Macaca fascicularis: one gene and its partners. The protein of the gene in region 6 interacts with the protein of the main gene of each other region in a pairwise test. Links are inferred from orthologs where the notes say so. Each region holds a gene or a part of one and is shown on either strand. Other genes may lie near its edges.

The links.
Region 1: the proteins of CRX (region 6) and QRICH1 interact in binary tests that used the Homo sapiens proteins (3 or more experiments, as listed by UniProt). The two-hybrid records come from large-scale screens. The link is inferred for Macaca fascicularis from reciprocal best matches to the Homo sapiens genes CRX and QRICH1.
Region 2: the proteins of CRX (region 6) and CCNC interact in binary tests that used the Homo sapiens proteins (3 or more experiments, as listed by UniProt). The two-hybrid records come from large-scale screens. The link is inferred for Macaca fascicularis from reciprocal best matches to the Homo sapiens genes CRX and CCNC.
Region 3: the proteins of CRX (region 6) and BANP interact in binary tests that used the Homo sapiens proteins (3 or more experiments, as listed by UniProt). The two-hybrid records come from large-scale screens. The link is inferred for Macaca fascicularis from reciprocal best matches to the Homo sapiens genes CRX and BANP.
Region 4: the proteins of CRX (region 6) and GCM2 interact in binary tests that used the Homo sapiens proteins (3 or more experiments, as listed by UniProt). The link is inferred for Macaca fascicularis from reciprocal best matches to the Homo sapiens genes CRX and GCM2.
Region 5: the proteins of CRX (region 6) and M1AP interact in binary tests that used the Homo sapiens proteins (3 or more experiments, as listed by UniProt). The two-hybrid records come from large-scale screens. The link is inferred for Macaca fascicularis from reciprocal best matches to the Homo sapiens genes CRX and M1AP.
Region 7: the proteins of CRX (region 6) and LONRF1 interact in binary tests that used the Homo sapiens proteins (3 or more experiments, as listed by UniProt). The two-hybrid records come from large-scale screens. The link is inferred for Macaca fascicularis from reciprocal best matches to the Homo sapiens genes CRX and LONRF1.

What each region holds. Positions count from the first base shown.
Region 1 is NC_088376.1:112,079,671-112,083,939, reverse strand, and holds the start of QRICH1 (transcriptional regulator QRICH1), read left to right. Parts: upstream 1-1,469; 5' UTR 1,470-1,623; intron 1,624-1,942; exon of another isoform or gene 1,943-2,999; intron 3,000-3,107; 5' UTR 3,108-3,167; intron 3,168-4,269. UniProt on the Homo sapiens protein: Transcriptional regulator that acts as a mediator of the integrated stress response (ISR) through transcriptional control of protein homeostasis under conditions of ER stress.
Region 2 is NC_088378.1:75,758,689-75,762,188, forward strand, and holds part of CCNC (cyclin-C), read left to right. Parts: intron 1-512; coding exon 513-548; intron 549-950; coding exon of another isoform or gene 951-974; exon of another isoform or gene 975-1,115; intron 1,116-1,233; coding exon 1,234-1,325; intron 1,326-1,958; coding exon 1,959-2,026; intron 2,027-2,135; coding exon of another isoform or gene 2,136-2,146; exon of another isoform or gene 2,147-2,220; intron 2,221-3,500. UniProt on the Homo sapiens protein: Component of the Mediator complex, a coactivator involved in regulated gene transcription of nearly all RNA polymerase II-dependent genes.
Region 3 is NC_088394.1:83,903,431-83,906,930, forward strand, and holds part of BANP (protein BANP), read left to right. Parts: intron 1-1,241; coding exon 1,242-1,358; intron 1,359-3,039; coding exon 3,040-3,215; intron 3,216-3,500. UniProt on the Homo sapiens protein: Controls V(D)J recombination during T-cell development by repressing T-cell receptor (TCR) beta enhancer function. Binds to scaffold/matrix attachment region beta (S/MARbeta), an ATC-rich DNA sequence located upstream of the TCR beta enhancer.
Region 4 is NC_088378.1:162,067,661-162,071,792, reverse strand, and holds the start of GCM2 (chorion-specific transcription factor GCMb), read right to left. Parts: upstream 2,801-4,132; coding exon 2,711-2,800; intron 1-2,710. UniProt on the Homo sapiens protein: Transcription factor that binds specific sequences on gene promoters and activate their transcription. Through the regulation of gene transcription, may play a role in parathyroid gland development.
Region 5 is NC_088387.1:47,298,671-47,302,170, reverse strand, and holds part of M1AP (meiosis 1 arrest protein), read right to left. Parts: intron 3,215-3,500; 5' UTR 3,163-3,214; coding exon 2,923-3,162; intron 1-2,922. UniProt on the Homo sapiens protein: Required for meiosis I progression during spermatogenesis.
Region 6 is NC_088393.1:55,829,273-55,833,268, reverse strand, and holds the start of CRX (cone-rod homeobox protein), read right to left. Parts: upstream 2,801-3,996; 5' UTR 2,722-2,800; intron 1-2,721. UniProt on the Homo sapiens protein: Transcription factor that binds and transactivates the sequence 5'-TAATC[CA]-3' which is found upstream of several photoreceptor-specific genes, including the opsin genes.
Region 7 is NC_088382.1:12,685,945-12,689,897, forward strand, and holds the start of LONRF1 (LON peptidase N-terminal domain and RING finger protein 1), read right to left. Parts: upstream 2,801-3,953; 5' UTR 2,758-2,800; coding exon 2,037-2,757; intron 1-2,036.

The DNA of each region.
Region 1 (4,269 bases), on a different chromosome or scaffold from region 6:
TAGCCCAGGCTGGAGTGCAGTGGCTCGATCTCAGCTCACTGCAACCTCTGCCTCCTGGGTTCAAGCGATTCTCATGCCTCAGCCTCCCAAGTAGCTGGGATTACAGGTGGGCGCCACCACTCACGAGTAATTTTTGTAATTTTAGTAGAGAAGGGGTTTCACCAAGTTAGCCAGACTGGTCTGGAATTCCTGACCTCAGGTTATCCACCCAACTCGGCCTCCCAAAGTGCTGGGATTGCAGGCGTGAGCCCCTGCGCCCAATTAGCATATAATTCTTTTTTACTTTTGAGACAGAGTCTCACTCTGTTGCCCAGGCTGGAGTGCAATAGCGTGATCTCAGCTCACTGCAACCTCCGCCTCCCAGGTTCAAGCAGTTTTCCTGCCTCAGCCTCTTAAGTGGCTGGGATCACAGGCATGCATCGCCACACTCGGCTAATTCTGTATTTTTAGTAGAGACGGGGTTTCGCCATGTTGGCCAGGCTGGTCTCAAACTCCTGATCTTAGGTGATCCACCCGCCTCGGCCTCCCAAAGTGTTGGGATTACAGGCGTCAGCCACCGCGCCCGGCCCATTCAGCATATAATTTTTGAGTGCCTACTACGTGCCAGACATAGATGAGGCATACGTGCTGTGGTGCCCTTCCAAGTTCACGGGAGGGGAAATGGGTGACCATGCACTGCATGGGAGAGGTCTCCCTGGGGCTTGTGCAAGACTGGAAGAGGTTCCTGACCCAGCCTGGGCCTCAGAAAAGATTACTCTAACGAAGTGACTTCTGAAGGGAATCACGAAAGACTACGGGGAGTTTGCCAGGATAAGAGGAACAAGGGCAAAAGCTCCGAGGCAAAAAGAGTCTGCCTGGAAGCCCTCTGGGGGCAGTGTGGGCTGCTGCTGAGGCCTGAGTGTGCCTGCAGCTTTAACGCCTTCCACATTTTCCCTGTATACAAACACTAGGCTACCCGGGGGCCCGCTTTAAGGTGGACCCAACTGCTGAAGGCTGAACTCAGATGGCAGCAGATGGCGGGAGTTCCAGATGCTGAGTCCTCCAGGAGGTGAGCAACCTAGAGGCTTTCCAGGCAGGGCACGCCTGGGGACGCCAGGCCCAGGACAGAAGTTTGTGGGGTCTACCTTAAGCGAGAGGCCGAGCCCGGCCAGGCCCCGCCCCGCGTGGGGGTGCTCGACCAAAGGAGGCTCTGGCGGGCGACGGAAGGTGGGTCCAAGGAGCTAGCTTGGAGCCCTAGCCTTCCCAGGCTCCACTACTAGGCCAAGTCACGGCCCTAGCTCCACCCCACATGGAGGGACGTCCATGGGCGGAGCGAGCCGTCGATACTCTATGATCCACCATCCGCTTTAGCAGCCAGAGGCGCGGCCAGCCTCCCCTGCTGAAGCGTTCACTTTAAGTCTGGCCGGGAGGCAGTCCCAGATCTCGCGGGACCGACGCCCCGATTCTCGCGAGAGGAGCAATCGACTCCTATTGGCTGTGAGGGTTGAATGTAAGATGGCGCCCAGGGAGCTGTGAGGAGAAAACCCTGTCGGTCTTGGAGCGACGACGGCAGAACCAGGGTCCCTGGCGGTGCGGCGGGGCCGGCGGGTAGAGCGGAGGCGGCGGCGGCGGTGACGTCGCCGGGTGAGGGCTCCAGTGCGGGCGGGGATGCGGCGAGGCTGTGGGCCTGAGTCGGGGAGCCCACCCCACACAACGGCGGGCGGGGGCGGGCGGGGGCGGGCGGGCCGCTACCGCTGGGCCCTGGAGAACTCGGGGCGGCTCCGGAGCCGAAAACGTTCCTGGGCTCGCGCACCCCGCCTTGTGGGTGGGGGAGGGGTGGGCCGGAGATTTGGGTGGGCGCGGCGCGAGATCGCGCGCTGGTGCGGGCGCGCGGCTGAGCCTGTTTTTACGCGCGGGCGCGCGCGCGCTGTGCGGCTCTCGGTGCGCGTGGCCGCCGACGTGCGCGTTCCCGGCCCGGATATCTTTCCTCTAGGAGCTGTGGCCCGTGGGCAAGAGCGGCTTTCCGTGGCGCGCGCCCTTCACAACCCCCCCAGTTTTGGGGCGCGCGCTCTGATGTTGGGTGGCGGTGCCGCCTCGAGAGCGCGCAGGAGGCTTCTGCTGAGCAGAGGGCCGGCCGAGGCTCGTTGTGCGGGGAGGGTTGAGGATTGGGTCCTTTCTGGTCTGGTGACGTTCCCGGGCATCCGTGGCCTCGGCCTGGAAAGAAACCAACCAGCGTTGCTGTCTGGCTTGCGGCTCCACTCCTCTGTGAGCGGGGCGAGATTGCCCGTTCTCCTTAAAGAATGCCGTTACTTGAGGCCCAAGTACGGTGTGGGTGCTTGGGTAGGGTGCTTCTGCTTCGGAAACCAAGCCCTGTTGGCTTGAGAGGGCAGTGAGCCCCTTCGGATTTCCTCACCTTGTACTGGGCTTTGTGCCGGGCAGGGAAGGTTAATATTAGAAGGCCCTTGAGTAGTAGCTGCTTATTTTTCATTAGAAATTAATACGTCCATAAGCGCAATTCATACACGTCACCACTGTGCGCTCCGGAAGGGAATTCGCTTATGTGGACCATGTGAACTCCGAGCTCTAAAATGCCAGTTTAAATCCTTAAACGCAGGCTTTTCTTTTGCGTAGGTGGGAGGGGCTTACTTTAGTCTGTTATACTAAAGGCCCACCTTTGCCTCAGCCAAAAAGTTGACCTTAAAACAAAATTGAACAACCTGAGAATCAGTGCTTTGTCTTTTTTGAAATTGCAGAAATCTCCAAGAGAAATTATTAAAATCTGACAGTGTATGACTGTAAAAGTCACTTTTGATGTAGGATTTCAGTCCTTTTCAGTTCTTTTTTTTTACCCTGCCACTGTGTTTTAGTGTCAAGGAAGTTCTAGGTTTGTCCTAGAGAAATGTGCACCTCTATTTTCTAATACAAAATATCTGCTAGTTTATGATTTACAGTCTTGCTCCATTAAGCTTCAGGAAAAGGAAGCTAACAGGAAGTAAAATTAGCCATCAGATTTGATAATGGTGGGGTAGTTCTTTCTAATGTACTGTATTTTTTTTAAGAACAAAGTTAAAATTATTAATAAAAAGAGGCTGAGGATGGAAGGAACTTTTTTGTTCTATCTTCTTCAGAATATTAGAAGTCTTAAGAACTCAGGACAAGCAGCAGAAATACATGCAACATGGTGACTGGTGAGTTAAAATTGTTCATATGCTGGAAGTATGTGTGCAGTTTTTTTTTCTGGTAATACTGAAGCATTACAAATCCTGTCAATTATTCTGCGTGCTGTCTTCCAGAAACTGTTAGGTGCTGTAAAATGAAGATGGGGGAGAACAGCATCTTTGAACTCAGCCAGTTTGCTACTTGCGCAGTTTTCTCCTGTTAGGATTTAAGTCAGTGGAACCCGCATATTTAAGCATGGCAAGGCATCAGCTTTTAAAAGGACCTAGATGGTTCAAAGAAAAGCTGTAAAGTTTTTCTAGGATACACTTAAAATTTTGATTTTTTTTTTTTTTTTTTTTTGAGACGGAGTCTCGCTCTATCACCCAGGCTGGAGTGCAGTGGTGTGATCTTGGCTCACTGCAGCCTCCTCCGCCTCCCAGGTTGAAGTGATTCTCCTGCCTCAGCCTCCCGAGTAGCTGGGACTACAGGCTTGTGCCACCATGCCCGGCTAATGTTTGTATTTTTGGTAGAGATGGGGTTTCACCATGTTGATCAGGCTGGCCTCGAACTCCTGACCTCGTGATCCACCCGCCCTCGGCCTCCCAAAGTGTTGGGATTACAGGTGTGAGCCACTGCACCCGGCCAAATTTTGATTAGTTTTTTAGGCTTGCTTGTTCTGGGTTATCTTTGTTTTTAACTATTAAGTTTGAGATCTGCCTTGTAAATTGGTGTTTATAAATAATGTTTCTCCAAGTTTGTCAACTAAGATTTACTTATTAGATGTCTTCCTTCGGGTCCTCTCTGATGAAGTATTCGTATACCTCTTTGAGAACCTCTGCAGTTCCACATCCTCTCTCCAGCTTATGTTGTCATTTCAAACTGAAGATCAAATAGTGGCTTAATTTTCTTTTAACTTTGAATTGCTCTAGGAAAGTAACCAAAGTCAGGGGCTCTGGACGTGACTGTCTTTCTTTAAGGCAGCTTCAGAATCAGGGATGTCTTTCCTTACTTTGGATATGCTTTTTTTTTTTTTTTTGTAATATACTTTCTTTTAGTTTAATTAGTTGTGGTTTATATTTGATGTGCCGTGCTTCTTTCTTGTCTGGTTTTTAAATGACCACTCTTGATTTG
Region 2 (3,500 bases), on a different chromosome or scaffold from region 6:
CCCAACATTGGTACTGTGTAAAAGCTCCCAGGTGATACTACTATTCAGCTGGGATTAAAAACTAATGGAACAATATGAAATATAAGGTGAGTTTTTATTGACATTTTAATAGGTATGTCCTTTTTCCACCTTGCAAGGGATTTGTTTATTCTCTTTAAGTTACATTTTTTTAATTAAGTAGAAATAATTGTATTAGAAAGTATACTGGAAAATCTGATGGTTTTACAGGATATTTTAAATAAAAGTGAGTAATAAGAATGATTGTGAGAAGCTGGCTTTTCCTTACAAGGATTAAAATCTTTATAATCATAATTGCATGTATAATATAGTAATTTTTTATTGCAGATATTTATTTTAATATAAACTATGTTTATTGTCTGGATTTTAAAAACTTTTTAGTAAACATTTTTAATAATTACTATAATGTCTGTAATTTATGTTAGATTAAGTGGATGGACTTATCTAATTTGGTTTCATATTAACATTTCATTGATAATCTTTGTTTTCAACAGATATTAGAATGTGAATTCTATCTTTTAGAACTAATGGTAAGTAAATCTTCTGTGATTAATAGATTAAAACATTTTTAAAATTTAATGAAGTTGGAAATTATTTAAAGAAATTATTTTAGGGAGGTACATTTTAAAACCATCCACCTGATATGTGATGGTGAAATCATGGTAGCCTATTTATATTAGCATCTAGAGTCTCTCTGATGCCTGTAAAATAATTTGTATATCCTACTTAGGGATGAGAAAATTTTTCTGTTCTATAGTAAGTAACTATAATGAAAGGATTACAAACAGACAAGTCAGGACATTAAACCACCGTAAATTATGTGCACAATTTGTGTGTGCGTGCAGTGTTATTTAAAGATAGATTATGTCTTTGGCAGAATTCTGCTCCTCCAGTTGGGAATTATGGATTTATAGGCTAATAAGAGGTTTCAGTGTGTTGCAGATGTGACACTTTGAGTCTCTAAGGGAATGAATGGATGCTGACTGACTGCCAACCGATTTATCAAGGTATATTCCAGAGAGAGCACTGCCTTCACTATTATAGTAGAGTTTAGGGCTGTCATACTGCTTGCTTAAGAGAATAAAAGGGAAGCAAGCATGAGTTAGTGAAATTCACTTTGAAATACACAATTACAAATCAGTTGGGTAATGATAACATTTTTGTGTTGTAATAAATCTGTTTTTTATACATACACATTTTTTAAACTGTTTCTAGGATTGTTGCTTGATAGTGTATCATCCTTATAGACCTTTGCTCCAGTATGTGCAGGACATGGGCCAAGAAGACATGTTGCTTCCCCTTGCATGGTAATTAGAACAGAAGTTATTAATAGTGTAACGTGTTATTAGATAGGAAGGTTGACAATTAAATATGAAGTCCAGTATATTTAAAGTCATTAAACTATTGCCCCAAGATATTTTATGTTGAGCAAAATACCACTTGTTGAATTTTAATAACTATAGTGGTGTAAATGCCAAAATGAAAACAATCCTAAATTATCTGTTCCATAAATATACCTATTGAAATTTAATTTTATACAAAACACAGACTGTTAACATAAAAATTAAGACTGAAGCTATCTTTAAAGTAATCAGAATACTTTTTGGTAGTATGCAACATACATACAAATTTACTGTATAATTTCTGTTTTTCTAATTTGATTTTTCAAAAATTAGAAAAATGTGTTTATAATTTGTTATGAGATTTTGAAATTTAAAATATATTTAGCTGTAATTTTATTCATTGATACGTGCTTATTTGTTATCACATTCATGTATCCATCCTTTTGCCTTGATGTTTTCACTTTTATAGCTGTGCTTCAGTAATATAAAAGGAAATAAATGTGTGCAAAGATGAGAAATCTGGCCCTCTCTGGAGGAAATGTACAACCAGATGAGGTAGTTCTGCTTTCAGTAATAATATGATTTACATTTCTATAGGAGGATAGTGAATGATACCTACAGAACGGATCTTTGCCTACTGTATCCTCCTTTCATGATAGCTTTAGGTATGTAAGCATGGTGTGCCTTTATTAGTTAAATTAGTTATAAACCTATTTAGGTCATCCTAAACTAAATTTCACCCTGTTGTACTTTGTGTTTTTATGTTCCATGAAGTAATAGACTAATCCTTGCATGTGAACTTTCAATAATATGAACTGCAACTGTCACAAATCAGGATTATTATTCCCCCACCCCCTTTTTTTGGTAAGTTTTTTTTTTTAAACCATTCAAAATAGTTTTAATCAGTGTCTGAATAGAACATATTTGTTTATTTAGAGGGAAAAGTTCAGAATTAAGCCAGCTAATATTAGTTGTAGCATGTAAAATAATTGGGCCTTTCATATCTTGAGCCCAAACAAGTACTCAGAGGTTGTGTAAAGGAGCATCTGTGGTCCATAATGCTTGGCTGGAGGAAGAAGTTAGATACATTCATTCTACTGTCTGTGGAAAGCAGTGCTGTAATGGGTGGAGTCAGATAGTCCTAGGCTTAAACTTTACTTCCTTTACAATTGTGGGAAAATTATCTGACCTTTCCGTGTTTGTTTCCTTAATTGTAAAATGGAGAGAATACTAGTAATTCCACTGAGCCATTTGAAGAATTAAATGAGATAGCTTGTACAGCACCAAATAATGCCTGTTATATATTGGGCACTTGTTAATTTTGTTCCTTTTCCTTCTGTTGATTTTTTTTTTTTTTGAGATGGAGTCTCGCTGTCTCCCAGGCTGGAGTGCAGTGGTGTGATCTCAGCTCACTGCAACCTCTGCCTCCTGGATTCAAGCGATTCTTCTGCTTCAGCCTCCTGAGTAGCTACAGGAGGATTATAGGTATGCACCATCATACCTGGCTAATTTTTGTATTTTTAGTAGAGATGAGGTTTCACCATGTTGGCCAGGCTGGTCTTGAATTCCTGACCTCAGGTGATCCACCCTCCTTGGCCTCTCAAAATGCTGGGATTACAGGCATGAGCCACCGTGCCCAGCCCCTTCTATTGATTTTTATAACTCCATCCTCTTGATTTTCCCCTCTTATTTTCCATTGGTTTGTCTTTGTTCAGTTGTTAATTATTCCTTAAATGTTGATGTTTCTTGGCCTTCTTACATCAGGGCTGACAAATAGGTTATACTTACACTCCTCTATTACTGGCAGCTCCCTGAAAGGACTGGATTTGAAAGGATTTTTGAAGTGGTGTCTGGGTTCAGCGGGTACGAATACTGGGATCTCTATAGGTAGGAAGGAAGGGATAACAACATGTGTCACATCTTTGCCATCCCTGCAGTTTTCTTCTTGGGTACTTTCCATGAGATTCATGGCTTCTACTATCACTTATGTGCTGAAACATTTAAATTTCTTTATTTAGCCAAGATCTTGCCACTTTTCAGTTCTTTATATCCATCTTCCTTTTACATAGCTCCACTTGGCATCCCAGCAGCACCTCAGCCTCATGATGAGGATTGAGCTCATCACTTTGCCCCAAAATA
Region 3 (3,500 bases), on a different chromosome or scaffold from region 6:
CATCTCTGAGGAGCATAGGACTGTTGCAGCCTGTAGGTGACTGTGGTGACCAAGCCAGCAGCCACCTGGGCTGCTTTTCATACCCGATCTGTAGGTCATTTATCAGGTTTTGTTGTGTTAACTTTAGGTGTCACCAATAACAAGTAGAGGAATTTTAAAAATAGTATTTTTGAATTAAATGCAGTTGATTATGCCTTTATTTTAGGAAGAAAACCTTGTGGTCCCGTGATTTACTCGGGCATGGCATGGCGCTGTGCTCGCACTCAATGTGGGGACAGTTACAGGGACGCTAGGCTGGATTTTCCTGTGGGCACATCACAGAAAGGCAGAGGCTTCCCAAGCTGGTTTTTGGAGAGTGAAGTTCAAGAACGGTGTTTTATCCTCAGGTGATAACCACTTTGTATTTCAAGTGCTAGTTCCTTCTCTCCCCACCCTTCCACAACAAAGTGTACCTTAGATATCCCTTGTGACCAGAAAGTGCTAAGGCTTAAAAACGCACAATTGAAATCTGTGGGTGAGTCTGCACTTTGAGATGAAGCTGTGTTAGCCCGCCTGTCTGAACACACTAGTGCTTCCTCCAGGGTGGCACCAGGTTTGGTGGTTTCTGGGCCGTGGTTTGTTCTTTGGTAGAATTGTTTCCTTCAAAGCAGAACCCTGAGCCCTGTGGTTGTGGCTCACACATGTTCCTGCACAACCTGGAGGCAGCACGTGTGTCCTTCCATCCCAATCCACTGTGATGTTTGCCCCTTTCTTTCTAGGGCGCTACCGTTTTGGACGATACCAACACTTACATGGTTACGAACGTTAGATCTGTACCATAGGAATTAGTTGGGATGGAGTGACTGAAAATGTCAAGCCGGTTTTCGTGCAAGTGTGTCACCCCAGAAGCTTTATTAACTGGGTGTGATAACAGCTGGTGTGGTCGCAGTCTGTTCTGTGTCACACACTCAGCATCCTCATCCCGGCTGTCCTGAGCCTATCCAGTTGTGCAGACAGAACACCAACAATTAGGAAAGTTACGCTGTTAAAAACCCCATCTCCAGTTTATTCTTCCTTAGCGTTTGGGGCTCCTCCCCGCTCAGGACGGGTCCCTGGGAGTGGACTGTGTTGAATGACTCTTAGGCCTCCCCCTCACTGCGGGTCCCTGGGAGTGGACTGTGTTGAATGACTCTTATGTGCTCTTACCATGAATGTTGTTGTTTTAAGGCCTTCTTTTTCTTTGTGATTCTTTTGTTCCCTAGCGTCGTCCCCCAGACTACAGTAATACTCAACAATGATCGGCAGAACGCCATTGTAGCCAAGATGGAAGACCCCTTGAGCAACAGGGCACCGGATTCCCTGGAAAATGTCATTAGCAAGTCAGTAGCACGGCACCAACCCCACCTTTCCCTGCCACTGTGAGGAGTCCCGTGAGAATAAGTCAACGTCCCCAAGCCAGGGCACAGTCCAGCACGCACTTCATCTCTGTGGTCACAGGGTTGAGCTTGGCAGGCACCGCCCCAGCTCTCTGAGGTCGGGGAGGGCAGGCTGGGTGATGCTGAGTGCTGAGTCCAGCCACACCAGGGGGCAGCTGCCGCCGGGGACTTCCGTGTCTCGTGCTGGCTGGGGTTGTGGAGGGGGCTGGCTCTGTCTCCTCACAGCAGTCAGTGAAAGCATTCATCCTCCCACCTAGCTCAGTGGTCCTGACGTCTGTCTGTCTGTGCAGAGCGTGTCAGGCAAACAGACACCCTCTCCCACGATTGCTAAGTGGTGCAGGCATGTTGAGTTTATGACTTTTTTCTTATGCCTTTTTCTCTTGAGACATTTTGAACGGAACTTGGGTCAGAGGTGGGAGTGGACAGAAGACGCCATCCCTGCCCTGTGTGAGGGGAAGGCTGTGCAGTGGCCTCTGGCTGGCATCCGGGCCCTGCTCTCCCCAGGAGTGCCCCTTAGGGCTGCGTGAACCCCTGAGGATGCTCTTGCTTTTTCTTTCCCATCTGTGTCTTCACAAAGTTCTATTTGCTTTTTCTCTCAGTCTCCTTTGTGGATTGCTCCTCCTCCAGCTTCGTCCCCTTTCCGTATTGTCTTAGCTCAGTTCTCCAGGGCTGCAGCTGTGGTCACGAGGGTCTGATACGTGGGGTGAAGGGAGAGGAGTTGGTGATGGGTGGTGAGGAGGTGCCAGGGTCAGCTGTGCCTCGGGGGCTTTGCGCTGAGGTCAACCAGGCAGATAGCCAGTGTTGAGATCAGGTTCAGCATGGACAGCGCTCTGGAGAACCCAGGCCAGAAAGCGCAGAGTGCAGCCTCCTCTGGGTGCGGCCAGTGTTTTCAGCACCCCTTTTTTTTGACTTTGCAAATAGAGAAATTGTGGTCCTTTCTCTTCTGGTGCGTAGCAGTCCACGGTAGGGGATGTTGAAAGGGTCATTAAAAAAGGGAAGTAGTAAGTCTCTAAATCATCTTTTTTTTGAGCACTTGTGGAGCTGGCCTCGCCCTGCTTTGCTAGCGGTGTTCTGTCTTTCCACATCAGCAGCCCTTGGGATGATGGCAGCTCCGATGGGATCTCAGTGGGTTTTTTAAGCCCCTTCAGGGTTTTTTTGCCTGTGGGCATACTTGGGAGTGCTGCTTGCTTTGCAGAGGCGGAGCCATCTCCAGCACGCCCAGCAGCATGGATCGAATTGACCCAGGCCTCTGGGCACAGTCTTCTGATTTAGTCTTTCCTTTAACCTCGCCTGAAAAAAGACTCCTACCAGCATTCTATAGGTTGACTGCTGAACTCAGAAGGCAGCATACTAGGCCTGAGTCCCAGTGAGTTATGATTTTACTTCTTTTGTGATACAAATATTTTCTTTAAATGGTTAAGTTTTATTTTATACAGTTTCGTTTAGCCCCGGGCCATTTTCTCCTATGGAGTTGCTATTAATCTTGGTAGAGAGAGCGGTCTGGGAAGGCTGTGTGATCCACTGGTCCATGCAGAGTTAGATCTTGTGATAAGGAAAGCACTGACCTTCGCGTGCTGCTTGTGGCTCTTACCACACTGGGTTGGTGTGTTTTTTTCCCGTTCAGCGCTGTGCCTGGGCGTCGGCAGAACACCATTGTGGTGAAGGTGCCGGGCCAAGAAGACAGCCACCATGAAGACGGGGAGAGCGGCTCGGAGGCCAGCGACTCGGTGTCCAGCTGCGGACAGGCGGGCAGCCAGAGCATTGGGAGCAACGTCACCCTCATCACCCTGAACTCAGAAGGTGCGTCCCAGGCGTCTTCTTTCCTTGGCCAGAGCAGCAGGAGGATTTTTGTTTGTTTGTTTTGCTTTTTAGAAATTAATTTAGTTGTTTTTTAAAAAAGTGATACAGTGGCCGGGTGCGGTGGCTCACGCCTGTAATCTCAGCACTTTGGGAGGCCGAGGCAGGTGGATCACCTGAAGTTGGGAGTTCAAGACCAGCCTGGCCAACATGGAGAAACCCTGTCTCTACTGAAAATACAAAATTAACCAGGCGTGGTGGCAGGTGCCTGTAATCCCAGCTACTTGG
Region 4 (4,132 bases), on a different chromosome or scaffold from region 6:
CAGTTGGAAAATTCAGACTTGTATACATCATGAATACTGCACATTCTAACAGTAATAAGGTAAATGAGTGATTTTGTTTCTAAAATTACAAAGATATTGTTGAAATAATTATTACTACCATTAGGTATTATTTATCTTTTCTCTGAAATATTACAATTGACATAAATTAGTACATTAATGTAAGGTAAGACACAAGTGAAATATATAATGATGTACTATCAACTCCAAGCTTATACTAAATGCTAATATCTTTGTTTTCAAAGTGAATATTTTAACTTAAGGATCTTAGTAATGAATTGACAATTTTCCAGAAAACAGCCTTTCTTTAGTTCTCCCTTAAGGATGTAGACTAGGCCCACATGCCTCACGCGAGCTACTGAGGTAGTGACCCCGGCAGTGGAGCCGCAGAGACTCTATCTTTAAAATCAGAATAGAGGATGTCAAGGATTGGGTTTCATTTGTTCTAAAGTGTTGACATGTTGTGTGTGTGTGTGTGTGTACGCACACACACTCCACCTGAACCTGATCGTAGACCTGGAGGAGAGTTTGAGATGGTTATCTCACTCTACCACTTGATGACAAGTCGGTAAGTAGCCTGAGACTAAGGCAAATTCAAGGACTCTCTCAAGGTCATACAGGTAGTTTAACTCGCTCACTTGGTTAGCCAGAGCAGGGCGATGCTAAGTTTCTTCACTTCACTATGTCCCAGTGTGCCTGGCCCTTTTGAGCTATTACACACATACTTCCACTTAACAACCAGTCTCCTAAAACAAAGTTCATATTTACATAGGAAGTCTACCAAATGCTTGAGAGACGAACCATAATTACATTATTTGGATGTGATTTTCTAATATGCAAGATATGATTGTTTCCTGTGAAGATGTACATGGACAGAAACAGAATGAGATGCACTTGCTGTACTGTGGTCCACTTTCATGAAAGTGGTACCATGTGACTCTAAAGTAGGCAGACTTTAAAACAAAGGAGTGGGCTGGGCACGGTGGCTCACGCCTGTAATCCCAGCACTTTGAGAGGCTGAGGTGGGTGGATCAGCTGAGGTCAGGAGTTTGAGACCAGCTTGACCAACATGGAGAAACCCCATCTCTACTAAAAACACAAAATTAGCCAGGTGTGGTGGCGCATGCCTGTAGTCCCAGTTACTTGGGAAGCTGAGGCAAGAGAATTACTTGAACCTGGGGGATGGAGGTTGCAGTGAGCCGAAATCATGCGATTGCACCCAGCCTAGGCAACAAGAGCTAAACTCCATCTCAAAAAACAAACAAACAACAAAAAACCCCAAACAAACAAACAAAAACAAAGGAGTAAAACACACCTCACCTACAAATGTGTGGCTCCAAAAAAGTGCTGACCTCTTTGAGAGGCGACACAATGTTGCAATGAATTACTATTCATCTGAACACCTATCAGGCACATTTTAGTTGCTGAAAAAATGACACATCTCTTTTATTCCTGTGCCACAACATTGCTGGAAGCCCACATTTGTAAATGGCTGGGAAGCAACTCTCATTCTACATCCCCCATCCCCCACAGCCCAGACTTCAGAGTCACTCAGTTTTGGCCCAAACCAGTATGACCAAGCATAATTGGTCATTCTCTGGAATTGGCTTCAAACCACTTTATTTACCACTTCATCCATCCCAGTTCATTCTTTGGACTTGGCTCCAAACCATTTTTGCTTTATACAAAAATGCTTTATACAAAAATGCTTTATACAAAATACAACGAATTCACCCTAAAAGAATGATGATTTGCTTGTCATTATAGAAGAAGTAAGTTTCGGGGACAGATGGCCTCGTTGGCATGACTATGGGGCCTCCTTCCTCTGGGCAGTCAGGCAGGTCTGAACAAATTGCTGAAGTCTGGCTATTTGTTTTAAGTTTAGGTCATTAGATTCACTTTATAGTTGTACCTCATAGTTTTGCTGTATGAGAAGCAGTGGTATTTACATCTGTTTAGATTTTCTCGTTAGCTTTCTCATGGATTTAAAGTAAATGAATAAGGAGAGAGGCACCTGATTTCTACCTTGGTTAACGGGAAGCGAAAGGACAGGCGTCCCGCTCTCCCCAAGACTGGGAATGTGGAGCCTGATCAACATTTCCTGCTGCTTTCCGCGTAATTTCAGGCAAGCACAAGGAAATTGCTGGGAGAAGACACATTTCTTCTTCTTTCTTTCCTTTTTTTTTTTGAGACAGAGTTTTGCTCTTGTTGCCTAGGCTGGAGTGCAATGGGGTGGTCTTGACTCACAGTAACCTCCGTCTCCCGGGTTCAAGCGATTCTCCCGCCTCAGCCTCCCGAGTAGCTGGGACTATAGGCGTGCTCCACCACGCCCAGATAATTTTGCATTTTTAGTAGAGACGGGGTTTCTCCATGTTGGTCAGGCTGGTCTTGAACTCCCGATCTCAGGTGATCCGCCCGCCTCGACCTCCCAAAGTGCTGGGATTACAGGCGTGAGCCACCGCGCCCGGCCGAGAAGACACATTTCTAAACCCAATTCAGCCTTTTGTGGAGTTCAGTTCTCTTTATACATTTGAGGGGGCCTCAGAAACCCAGAAATTTTGCGTGTGTGTGCGTGTGTGTGTGTGTGTGTGTATGGTCCGTCCGCAGACTCTTCAAGAACTTGAATGCCATTCTCCCTCCCTCCTTCGGATAGACAGCGCCCCGCGTGCCCGCACACACCCGGTTCACTTACCTGAGGCATCTGTGGATCGTTGATGTCCCAGCTGAGCTGCATCCCGTATGAGCACACGCCGACCGTATCCTGCACCGCGGCTGCCGGCATCTGCCCAACTCGCTCGCGCTTTCCGCCCAGGGTTCTGAAAAATAGAAGAAAAAAGGAGAGGTGCGCCAGGTGATTTTTTTCTACTCTTTAAAGAAGAAAGTGGGGTATGTGTGTGAAGGGGAGGGGCAGAGAGAGAGAGAGAGATTGTTTAGAAATCTGGAAGTTGGGGACAATGGTTATGGACCCGGGCGGGGCCCTGTCCTCGGCCGCGGTGCTGAACGGTCTCCACCCGAACGGTAGCATCGACGTCTGCAGCTGATCCCTCCTTTATAAAGATGCATCTCCGGGGGACTCCGCCCTGTTTCGCCTACCTCGCTAGCGCCCACGCTCCAGGGGCCAGCCACCACCTCCACCACAGACTCAGGAACGGAGGTGGAGGTTAAACTCAGCCCTGGAAGCAAAGGGAAACTGCAGCCAGGGGGTGGGGGTGGAGAGGGTAAGTTGGAATGTATCCTTTAAGTTTAAAACCTTATTATTTTCTTCTCTTTTCTTCTTTTTTGTCTCACTCCGTTGCCCAGGCTGGAGTGCAGTGGCGCCATCTCGGCTCACTGCAACCTCCGCCTCCCAGGTTCAAGCGATTCTCCTGCCTCAACCTCCCGAGTAGCTGGGATTACAGGTCCGTGCCACCACGCCTGGCTAATTTTTGTATTTTTAGTAGAGACAGGTTTTCGCCATGCGAAACCCTTACCAAGCTGGTCTTGAACTCCTGACCTCAGGTGATCCGCTGGCCTGGGCCTCCCAAAGTGCTGGGATTACAGGCATGAGCAACCGCACCCGGCCTATTTTTTTTTTTTTTTCTAAACGCATCCAGCTTCCCTGATTTCGGAAAGGGGCTTAGATGGAGGCTTTGGAAGCAGAGGCTTTCCAGCAAAGTCCCCTGAGAGTCAACACTCAATTCCAGTAGAGCATGGGAACCGTGCATGGGCCCCTCTGCCGTCCGCGCGCTCCCTACGCTGAATAACCGTGCCCATGCCTCCTAGTTACGGGTCAGCCCATTTTGGGCCTCCATTGCCGGCTCTTCCCCTAACTATTGTGCGTGTCTCGGAGTCTTCGCTCGGCTGTTTGGGATGTGTGAACGGGCGCCACGCCTCCGCGTATGCTCGCGAGCCCAGGCGCCTTCGCGCTCCCGGGGACTTCGGAGGGACCTGGCCCTGCAGGAACGGAGTCCTACAAAGTGAACCCGGAGGAGGTGGGGGGAAATGAGCCTGGGGTAGGTAGGAGCCTGGGGAAGGACGGAAAAGGGAGAGGGGTAAAGTCCCGAAGAACTCCTAGCTTTCTCCACTGCTTTGGCTCCCTCTGGGTCTCAGCTTCCTTATCTGTTAAATAAGGGGT
Region 5 (3,500 bases), on a different chromosome or scaffold from region 6:
TTGTTTTCTTTCTGTGTTTCATTTTGGATAGTTTCTATTCCTATGTCTTCATGTTCACTGATCTTTTTTTTCGTAATGTCTAATCTGTCAATAATTCCATCTAGTGTACTTTCCATGCCAGAAATTGTAGTTTTCCTCTCTAAAAGTTTGATTTGGAACTTTTAAAATATCTTCTATATCTCCACTTAGCTTTTTGAACACATGGAACCCAATTATAACAATTGTCTTAATGTCCTCATCTGCTAATTCTAACATTTATGTTACTTCTGTGTCAGCTTTAATAATTTCTTCATAAGTCATAAAATCCTGCTTCTTTGCATGCCTATTTAAGTTTTGATTGAATGCCAGACAGTATGAATTTTACCTTAATGGGTGCTAGATAGTTTTGTATTTCTATAAATATTATTGAGCTTTGTTCTGGGATAGTTAAGTTACCTGGAAACAGTGTGACACTTAGGATCTTGTGTTTATGTTAGGTAGTCTTGAGCAGTACTAAGTCTTGGGCTATTTTATGCCCTACTACTAAGGCAAGATCTTTTTGAGTCCTCTACCCAATGTATCATGAATTATGAGGATTTCCAGCTTGGCTGATAAGAACAGGTACTATTCTAGTTGTGAGTATCAGGCACCATTGTCTCTAGTCTTTTAGGGTGGCTCCTTCTTTGGCCTTGGGTAGTTTCCTCATGCGCATGTACTGATCAGTACTCTGCTGAATACTCAAGGGGGACCCTCTTCAGGTCTTTATAGAGTTCTGTATGTAGCTCTCTCCTTTCCTCTATATAGCTCTTTCTCCTCTAGCTATTAATAACTTGGTCTCCCTTAAGTCCCAGATCCATCTCCTTGACTCGAGGAAACCACTGGCGCCCACCCCTAGGTTCTCCCTCTCTGCATTGTGGTTTGGAAACTTTCTCAAGGCAGTAAGCTGGGACAATTCTTTTCTTTTTTTTGAGATGGAGTCTTGCTCTGTTGTCCAGGCTGGAGTGCAGTGGCACAATCTCGGCTCACTACAACCTCCGCCTCCCAGGTTCAAGCAATTCTCCCGCCTCAGCCTCCCAAGTAGCTGGGATTACAGGCAGCCGCCATCATGTCTGGCTAATTTTTGTATTTTTGTAGAGGCGGAGTTTTACCATGTTGGCCAGACTGGTCTTGAACTCCTGACCTCAGGTGATCTGCAAGCTGGGACAATTCTAAGTCCCACCTCATTTACTTCCTGTCTCCTGGGGGCTTTGTTCTTTGCTGCGTGATGTCCACTGTTTTGAAAAGTGTTTTTCATAGGTTTTATCCAGTTTTTTTTTATTGTTTTAGGCAGGAGGGTAAATCTGCTTGCAGTTATTCTATATAGGGTGGAACAGTGACTTGCTTCCAATGAACAGAATGTACAGGAAGTGACAACATGTTACTTTTGAGACTAAGACATAAAAGATATTTTGGCTTCTTCATTGGTCTCCCTCTCTTTTGGATCAGTTGTTCTGGGAGAAGCCCACTGCCACAAATTAAGGACATTCACGCAGTCCTTTGAAGAGATCCGAGTAGTCAGGAAATAAGAATTTCTGCCAACAGCTAAGTGAATATGCCATCTTACAACTGGATCCTCCAGTCTCAATCAAGCTTTCAGATGACTGACATCTTGGTTACAACCTTATGAGGGACCCCAAGCCTGATCTACCTAAGCCACTTATGAATTCCTAACTCATAGCTACTATGAGATAATGTTTATTAATTTAGACCACTACATTTTGGGATAATTTGTTACACAGCAATAAATAATGAATAGAGGTACCAAATTATGCTCAAACCGTAGAAAGGATCAGTTGAATTTCTTAAATAATTTTATCCTTTTCCCATCCCCAACCCAGCCTAAGTAACAATGCACAGACAAAATCCCCACACTTAGCACTTGGAGCATTTATACTCAAAACTTTCCCTGTGTGACTTTTGTCAAGAAATAAACCGTGAGTTGTTGTAAGCCTAAGGTTGTGTCAAAGCAACCAGGGTATGTTCTAACTCAGGAAGCATAAAGTAATATATATTATTTTAATTCTTTATAGTATCAACAGAGATGTTATCATTCCACTTCCAATGAGGGAAACTAAGGCATTAATCAAAAAATAAATAGATTCCAGTCATATATTACTTTCATAATTCAGCAATGGATTTATGAAATTTCCTCTTTTGGAAATCTTAAATAAGACTTATATCCGTTTGATAACATATATTAGCAGCAAGGCTACCTCAAGGAAGGAGATGCATAGAACCTCTGGAAGTCTTTCTCATCACTATGATTCTGAATTTTATACAAGGGAGAAAGGGAAGATTGAAATTTTGAAGAGGAGCATAGATAATTGTTTATGTATGAAGGAGCTTTGTAAAAACACTGCCCCTGGCCCAGTGATTGCCTTCCATAACCCTAGGGGACAGTTTCACCTGAGTCTATGTGGAATGTAGAAAAAATATTTTCATGTTTTTGCATAGTTAGGGCTTTCTGAGCAAAGAAAACTGGTACCTGGGTTAAAGGGCAAGTCTTGTAATTTAAAAGATGATTGAATAGCCAGAGACCTCAGAAGAGATTTAGAGGCTTCCCTCCTTGTGTGTTTACATTTCAAAGGGCATAAAAGGAGTCAGTTGTTTACATTTCAAACATCTGTCAATGCCAAGGTTTCTCTCCCTCTCTCTGGAGTGGAAAGGGGCAGCTTGTAGCCTATTTATACTCCCAGATTAATAATTTTGGGGTTTCTCTTCAACAGTGCATACCCCTATATATGCAGGATGTCCTCTGGCTCTCATGGTGTCACTCGGGGGCTACAGTGTGTGGAGAAGTAGTGGGGTTATTGTTGTAAGTGTTAATAACTGTGATCTCTATTCCAGAAACCTTACCACTGTATCTCTTTTCAGGATAAAATGAATAAATATAGATATACATACCACAAAAGGGAGGATGCACTCATGCTGATCTTGTACCATGTATAAACTGAACAGGGACATGCGGCTAGGGCCCATCAAACTGCAGGCTAGAGAGAAGAAGTTCTGCAGAGCCTCACAGAGGTTGGCGCAGATATCACCCCAGGACGGTAGAGCAATGTGCACAATGAGAAGCCGTGGAGGTTGCTGGTCAATCTGAGTGTGAGTGGAGGGCCCTTTACCAGTAGTTCGCCCAGGATGCATGGCAGCAAAACCAGAGGCAGAACTGTAGCCACCAGCTGGATATTGTTTACACCTATAGCGAAGGAAAGAGAAACCACTGGTTTTCAAACTGAATTGTGTGTGCTCTGTTGAAATATAAAACGCAAGTTGAGGGAAACAATCCAGAAAGGAGTCAGATTGGGTACTAAAGCTTGTCCAGGCCATCCTTTTTTTTTTTTTTTTTTTTTTTTTTGAGACAGAGTCTCCCACTGTCACCAGGCTAGAGTGCAGTGGTACGATCTTGGCTCACTGCAACCTTCGCCTCCCAGGTTCAAGCAATTCTCCTGCTTCAGCTTCCTGAGTAGCTGGGATTACAAGCA
Region 6 (3,996 bases):
TGAAAGCTCACAGCCACCTGATGGGGCAGACACGCAGATAACTCCGTTCTACAGCAGGGGAGACTGAGCCTGGGAGGGAGGGAGGTGCCCACAGGTCAGGTGGCTGAAGACCTTAAGGACTTCCAGGGGGTCCCAGCTTCTCACACACTGCATGCACCACGGACCTTGGGAACAAGATCTCAGGGAACCATAACCCCATGGAAACTTCCTCCGAGGCGGCTCCTGGTATCATCCCGGCTTTACAGAGGAGGAAACTGAGGCTGAGGGAAGTGGAGTCTCCAGTTCTGTCTCGCACATCAGCGGCAGAGCCAGGGCTGGGCCAGCACCTGCCCCGGAGCCTGTGCCCTCCTGACCACCAGGCGACATGGCTTCTTAGGACACTCACCACAGCCCCACGGAGCTCAGAGGTCCCTTTCTCAGAGGAGGAAACTGAGGCTGAGAGAGGTTTCGTCAATTCCCGAGGTCACACAGGTGATGAGTGGAAGAACCAGGGGTAGAATTTAAATCTCTTTGGCCCCAGAGCCCCGCTCTTCACCCTCAAGTCTACCTGGGGACCCCAGAAACAGAATGAAGCTGGTATCCTGCCCTGCTCCCACTGCAGGCCAGGCCCGCAACACGGGGTTCCCATGGCTTATCTGGCTGGATCATCGTGACAGCTTCTCATTGTCCCCACTTTGCACAGGAGGCAACCGAGACCCAGAGAGCCCATGTGAGGGGTCCAAGGCCACACAGTGAGAAAAGAACAGGGTTTAAACCCAGACTCGGCAGGGCGCGGTGGCTCACGCCTGTAATCCCAACACTCTGGGAGGCGGAGGTGGGTGGATCACCTGAGGTCAGGAGTTCGAGACCGGCCTGGCCAACATGGTAAAACCCTGTCTCTACTAAAAATACAGAAATTAGCCGGGCATGGTGGTGGGTGCCTGTAATCCCAGCCACTTGGGAGGCTGACGCAGGAGAATCGCTTGAACCTGGGAGGTGGAGGTTGCAGTGAGCCGAGGTCGTGCCACTGTACTCCAGCCTGGGTGACAGAGCGAGACTCCATCGCAAAAACAGAAAACAAAAAACAAAAAACAAAAAAACAGACTCATGTGGCTTCATGCCAGCCTTTGGGAAGACCCTCCCAGCCCAACCACGTTCAGGGCCCTCTCTTGTCAGCCACTCCAGCCTCTCTGCAGCCTCTGTTGGCACCTCTGTCCAGTGGGGATAAGGAGCTGGGTGGATGCACCCACTGCCGGGCATGAGACCTGGGGGAAGCCGAGACCCATGGCACAGTTAGAGTCTGAGCAAATCAACTCAGTGATCAACAATGTGATCCCTGGAGCATCCAGAAATTCAAACACAGCGGGCAGCCTTGAAGTCAGACCTCACTCTGTGGCCATCTCAGCCCTCGCTCGGTCCTTTTGGGAAAACCGCATCACACCTCCTCTCTGTGGCAGTCTGTCTACCTGATTCTACCCTCTGCCCTTCATCCATCCATTCATTCATACATTCATTCATTCATTCCCTCCATATTCAGTGAGCACTCACTGTGTGTCTAGGACTGACCCAGGCACTGGGAATACAGCCGAGAACAAGACAGACAAGGCCCCAGTCCTCCTGACTGGGGCAGACAAGGAACAAAGTGTCAATCAGAGTTTTGCAGGAGACCGGCCAGGCGCAGGGGCTCATGCCCGTAATCCCAGCACTTTGGGAGGCTGAGGCGGGCAGATCACTTGAGGTCAGGAGTTCGAGACCAGCCTGGACAACATAGAAAGACCCCCCATCTCTACTAAAAATACAAAAAATAGCTGGGCCTGGTGGCACGCGCCTGTAGTTCCAGCTACTCAAGAGGCTGAGGTGGGAGGACTGCTTGAACCCAGGAGGTGGAGGTTGCAGTGAGTGGAGATCATGGCGCTGCACTCCAGCCTGGGCAACAGAGCGTGACTTCATCTCCAAAAAAACAGCTTTGCAGAAGATCAGAAAGAGTGACTGTGCTGGAAGCTAAGACAGCAGGAGCGTGAGGAACCCCAAAGTAGAGCCTGGGCTGAAAGCCGGAGCCTCTGGGTGCGTCGAGGCCCCAAGTGATCAATTCACCTGCACAGTGATCCCCAGTCATCACATTTCCAGCTCCCTCGAGCAGGCCCAAGTCCACCCGGACTCCTGCCTGCTGCAGCCACAGACCTGGGCTCTCTGCGTCTATGTCCGTTCCGTCCCTTGTCTGTCATTCATCCATCCATCTACGCAACACATATGTAGGCAAATCCCAGCCACACGCTGGGGCACTGGGGAGAAATCAATGCTCAGCAAGGGAGGGAGACCGGCCATTTGTGGATCATTGCGCAAATGAAAATTTTGGGCAGTGCTAAGAGTTTTAAAGAAAATCCAACAGAACGGTGTGCTGAGGAGTTGCCTTAGAACCACGGTGAGAAGCCCCCAACCCCGGATGCTGTCAGGGCTTGAGGGCGCCCACAAGCCACCCTGAATCCTCCAATGCCCTGAGTGCCGTGGGCCAGTCCCTGCTGTCTAACCTTACTCCCTCCTGCTGCAATCACATCCCAGCCCTGTTTCCCCCAAACACCAGGATGACACCTCTGTTTTGTGTGTGACTATTCAGCAAATGTCACCTGCAGAGCACGGCAAACACAGCCATGAATAAAATAAACCCAACTTCTCCCCTCTCTTTCTTCTCCCCCATTCCCTCTCCCTTCCTCGGTCCCCTCCGCCTCTCCTGCAGACGCTCACCTTCAGAAAGGAGGGACGGGGCTCTCCTGGTGGCCCAGGACCTAGACAGAGCGGCCAGACAGCAGAGGCTGAAGGAAACACGTCCCCTCACATGGGGAGATTTTAAGCCCGGGCTGGGAGTGATGTCATTTGTCATGGCCCGGATCTCGGAGGGTAATCCTGGCCAAGGTGGGGGACTCGACTGGGCACCAGGAGGTGACATTGGCTGGAAGGGGGAGGGGCACCCGTCTGCTTAATCCCCTCCTCTTCCCCCCATGACATCTTGGCAATTAGGGTTGACGGGGAAGGGAGGCCCCAGCTCCTGCCGGTGACCATAAGCCCCTACTCCTCAGGGAAGTCCTTCCTTTGGTCTAACTGGTGTCTCTCCAGCTTCAGCTGGTATCCCAAGAGAGAGGCATCAAAGAGGAAGGAGAGAACTGTCAGAGGGTCCTGAGAGACCATCTGAAAAAAGAGTGGCACGGGGCTTTCGGGATCCCTCTCCTGGGTCCCCCTTTCTCTGCACAACAGTTTGTCTGACAGTTAGTTTATCTCTGTACTGCCTCATTGTTCTCCGTTTCTGCCTCAGTTTCCCCTGTTTCTCTTTCTTTGACTTGATCAACTCCTGCCTGTGGCCTGTCTGTCTCTGTGTTGTCAGACATGATATTATCCTCTTTTGGGGGGCAGTGGTGGGGGCGGGGGCTGCTCCCAGCACTGAAAATAGGCAGACATTAGAAAGGGTGTTTCGTTTTTCTGTTTTTGGTGGAGTTTGAGGTTTGGGGTTTTTTTTGTTTTTTTTCTTTTTTGAGACAGGGTCTCACTCTATCGCCCAGGCTGGAGTGCAGTGGCATGATCACGGCTCACTGCAGCCTTGACCTCCTGTGCTCAAGGGATCCTCCCTCCTCAGCCTCCCAAGTAGCTGAGACTTTACAGGCACACACCACGATGCCCAGCTAATTTTTTCATTTTCGTAGAGATGGAGTCTCTCTATGTTGCCCAGGCTGGCCTCAAACTCCTGGCCTCAAGGGATTCTCCCACCTCAGCCTCCCAAAGTGCTGGGATTGCAGGCGTGAGCCACCGCACCCAGCATTTGCCATCTCTCTACACACCATTGGTCTTTGTCTGGTTTCTCTGGACCTCAGTTTCTTTTCCTTTGGGCCTCAGGCTGTGGCATTTCTGCCTGCTCGCCTGAATACCCCTCTTTCATTCTCCATCTGCTCCTCTCCGTCCCTGTCTTTGTTGATGAACCTGCATTACCACCTTGGTCTCTCTTATTCTTTCCCTCTCTTTCTGTGTCTC
Region 7 (3,953 bases), on a different chromosome or scaffold from region 6:
GTCACAAAATGTTAAGCTAGACCTCAATTAGCAAATGTGTTCACTGTTCTTCCATGGCCCAGGACCTGGATTCTTGTGAAACACCTAATTTAAGGTCGAATCACTGTATCAGTAGTACTGTCCATAAGTTTCAGCCTCAGTGACCAAAAAAACTTCTTTGGATATGTATAATAAACATTTTCATCAGATAAGCTATAAGGCAGGATGAACCCTAGACCAACGTTTAGGAGAAGTGGAAGATACAGCGCTGCCTCTCAACCAGTTAACACTGTGACTGTGCGCAAGTCTTCACTGCCTGGCATCTGCTTCTTTGCTTTAAAAATCATACCATGGTCAGTTACTAGATGGTCTGTACAGCGGAGTCCAGTTTCTCTTCTCTTTATTCACCCAGAGGGACAGAGTCATCCGTATCAGAATTCTGTATTCCAAACACTTTTCTTTTGTTCTGAGCCTATCTTTCTATTTTATAACTGCCTACTCCTCATAAAGGCACTGAAAGAATACAAAAATCTCCGGTGTTTGTGCTTCGAACTCTGAAGATATTAAACAATGCAAGATCTTGACGTAAGTTCAATATGACTAAGCACTTGGGACAAAAGATGACCCGAAAGATGATCCTTTCAGTTACACAGTCTATAAATTTACCTGTAATACCTAAAGTCAGCTGCTATTCTAGATGTCTATTTTCTTGGGGATTATTCCCCCAACTATCCCCCAACTATCATGCCATTCCCCCAGCTATCATGCCAATGGATAGACACTAAAATCTTGAAATACGCGTAACACAAGGTTTATCAACAGTGGCACTTGGGGCCTGATAATTCTTTGTTGTGGGAATCCTGCTGTGCCTCATAGGATGTCTGAGCAGCACCCCGGGCCTCTCCCACTAGATGTCGGTACCAGCACCACCCCCACAAGAGGTGGCAACCAAAAATGTCTCCAGATATTGCTCTAGATAATGTCCCCTGAGAGAGGGGAGGTAAATCCGGCTGGTAAAGAACTACTGATTTAAAGAACAACTCTTCCTTTTACATAAGAGAAGCTTGACACTGCCCCCTTTCAGCGCCTAAAACCACCTTAAGAAGAAAGTGCTAGCTAACCTAGGTTAGGAGGCCGAGGCTGCTTCCTGGAGACTAAGAAATGCACTCAAGACCTACAAGGCCTTTCCCCACAGCTTGATCCTAAGTGGAACGGCCAAGAGAAGCGTGGCAAAGAACTCTGGATCAGGAAGCCCCTCTCATCTTTACCATAAGCTAGGTGCACTGCAAAGTACATAGGAAATAAGCATGATCTGAAACAGGCCGGCTGAAACTTTCGAGAGAAACCAGTTCAGGCATTTCCAGGTAGCAAGGGACCACCCGGGGCAGCTCCGCCCCGCGCCCCAAGCCCGGCGGCCTGCGGGGCCTCCCGGGGCCGGGTGCCCGCCCGGAGCTCCCGCCACGCCCACCGGACGTCACCCGTTACACAACGACCCCCGCCCCCAGCTTATGCAATTCTGCCCTCCCGCGGCTCCCAATTGTCCCGGTGACTTTTGTGGGTGAGGAAGGGAGACGCCGCCTTCCCGGCCTAGTTGTCCTCGTGGGGGATTCTCTCCCCACCCCGGCAGTCGTTTCCCCGCGGCGGGCCTGGCGCGAGAGAGTCAATTCCCGGAAAGCGCGCGGCAGGAAGCGAGCGGCCGCTCGGGATAGCCCAGCTCCCACCCATCCCGCGCCGGGGCACCCACGGCTCCGGTCACCCACTCCGCGCCCGGAGCGCGCGCCCGACGGCCAGGCCGCGGCCGAGGGAACCCCGCGCCGAGCGCCCCTCCCCGCGCTGCGTCACAGTCGGCTCCCAGGGCGATCCCCATTGTGACCGAAGCACCCCGGGGCGCCGCCCCCTCCCACACCCCCCAGCACCCCGAGACCCAACACGCCAGTGGCCCAGCGGCCCCGGGGAAGCAGAGGAGACTCCCGGGACGCAGACAAGCTCCGGGTCCCCGGCCCTCGGGGCCAGGAGGGTGCGGTCGGCCCGGCCCCGCCGCATCCCCGCGCGGTCACCTGCTCGCAGCGCCTCGCAGGCGGCGGCCAGGGCCTCCCGGTAGCGCCCCTGGTGTAGCAGCTCCCCGAGTCTGCCAGCCGCCCGGGCCCGCTCGCGCTGGCCCGGGAACCACTTCTCGGCCAGGTGGTTGAGGACGACGCTGGTTCTGAAGTCTGAGGCGGCGATGGCGGCTGCCAGAGGCGGCGGCCGCGGGGCGGTCCCTTCAGCATCAGTGGCACTGGCGGTGGCGGGCGGCAGCCGGTCCCGGCAGAGGCGGCAGCGGGCGCGGAGTTCCCTCCGCAGGCAGCGGCGGCAGTAGCTGTGGCCACAGGGCACGGTCACCGGCTCGCTCAGGAAGCCCCGGCAGCCCAGGCATCTGAGGAGCCCGCAGGCGCCGCCGTCCGCGCCCGCAGCCGGGGCCGCGCTCCAGCTCAGCCCGTGGCGGAGCCGGTAGTTGAACACCAGGCAGTCCACCAGGGCGCCCAGGCACTCGGGCCTGGCCGGGGCCCCGCGGCGCAGCGCCGCCGCGAACGCCTCCAGCGCGCCCTTCAGGTGGCCGCCCAGCGCCAGCAGCTCCCCGCGGCGGAGCAGCAGTTCCCAGCGCTCCGACTCCGCGGCCGCGCGCTCCAGCCGAAGGCCGCTGCCGCCGCCCACTTCCCAGAACCGGCCTCGGCCCTGCGGCGCCGGGGCCATCTCCCGACTCCCTCCCGGGGAACTCCTCGCCACCGCCGGAGAGGACATGGCCCGCGGAGGGCTGCGCTGCCGCCGCCCGCCGCCACGGTCCGGGAGCCTCCCGGGCGCGCGGCTCCGCACGCGGCCCGCGAGCAGGGGGGCGTGGCGCGCGGACACGGCGGGGCGGCGCGCGCCCGGGAAGCCCCGAGGGCGGGGCCTGGCGAGGGCGGGGCCGGGCTCGGCGACGGCGCCGGGACTCCCCCACGCAGCCCGCGGCCGCGCTCGCGAGGAGCCAAGCGCTGGGCCCCGCCCCTCCCGAGCCCCCTCCCGGCGGGGGCGCAGGTCGGATGATTCCTCCGTCGGAGATCTAATTGGCTTCTCCGGAAAGGAGGGCTCGGCTCGTGACGGAACAAAGCCCGATGGAGCCCAGAGTCTCCGTCCCCGCTTGCCTGCTCGCCGACGCCCCCACCTGCGGTGGCCCGCGCCCTTGCCGCGCGGGACTCAGGGTCACCACCCCTCCCCCGACGCCCCCGCCCAAGCCGGACCTGCCCCAACTCCTGGCGGGCGGGGGTCTCCCGGCGTGTCCTCACGCTTGTGCGGGTCTGCATTTTCATTCCTCTATGCCCAGGTTCCAGGTGGGCGCTCCCAAGCAGGGGGCCTGGGAGGGCACCTTCGGCAGATGTCTGGGACTCTTCGGTTCTAGAGGACTCAACTTTAAACAGGAACACAAAACCCACGTTCCTGGGGCGACTCCCTCCAGAGGGCAAGGAGTTTTTCCTGGTGCCAGGTGACTGCTGCCCTTTGCTTAAAACTCATCGTAGGCCCACCTCGAGGGAGAAAGCCCACACAGTTCCTCAGGTGTCTCCACACCTCAGGCACTGCCTTACAGCTGGTTAAAGTCTATAGTTGGCATATTTAAAAGAAAACACCGAGAAAAATGTTTTTCACGTGGCGGTCACCGTATTACTACAACCCAAGCAGGGTCTGCAGTTTTGCCAACAGAAGAAAATGATGGGGTTGATATATAATAGGTGCTATTTCCCTTAAACTTCACAGCGGCAAGTTTAAAGCTCTCCGCTGAAAATATTTATAGATTTGATTATAGGGTATTAGATTGTTAATGTTAGGAGTCACTTAGAACTTTTAGTCCTTTTTCAAATGATGGGAAACAGAGGGAAAGTTATTTGTCAAAAATCACACAGCTAATATAGATTTTAAGATCACGTCTATTCCACTATTATGTTACTACGTTAGACTGATCGTAT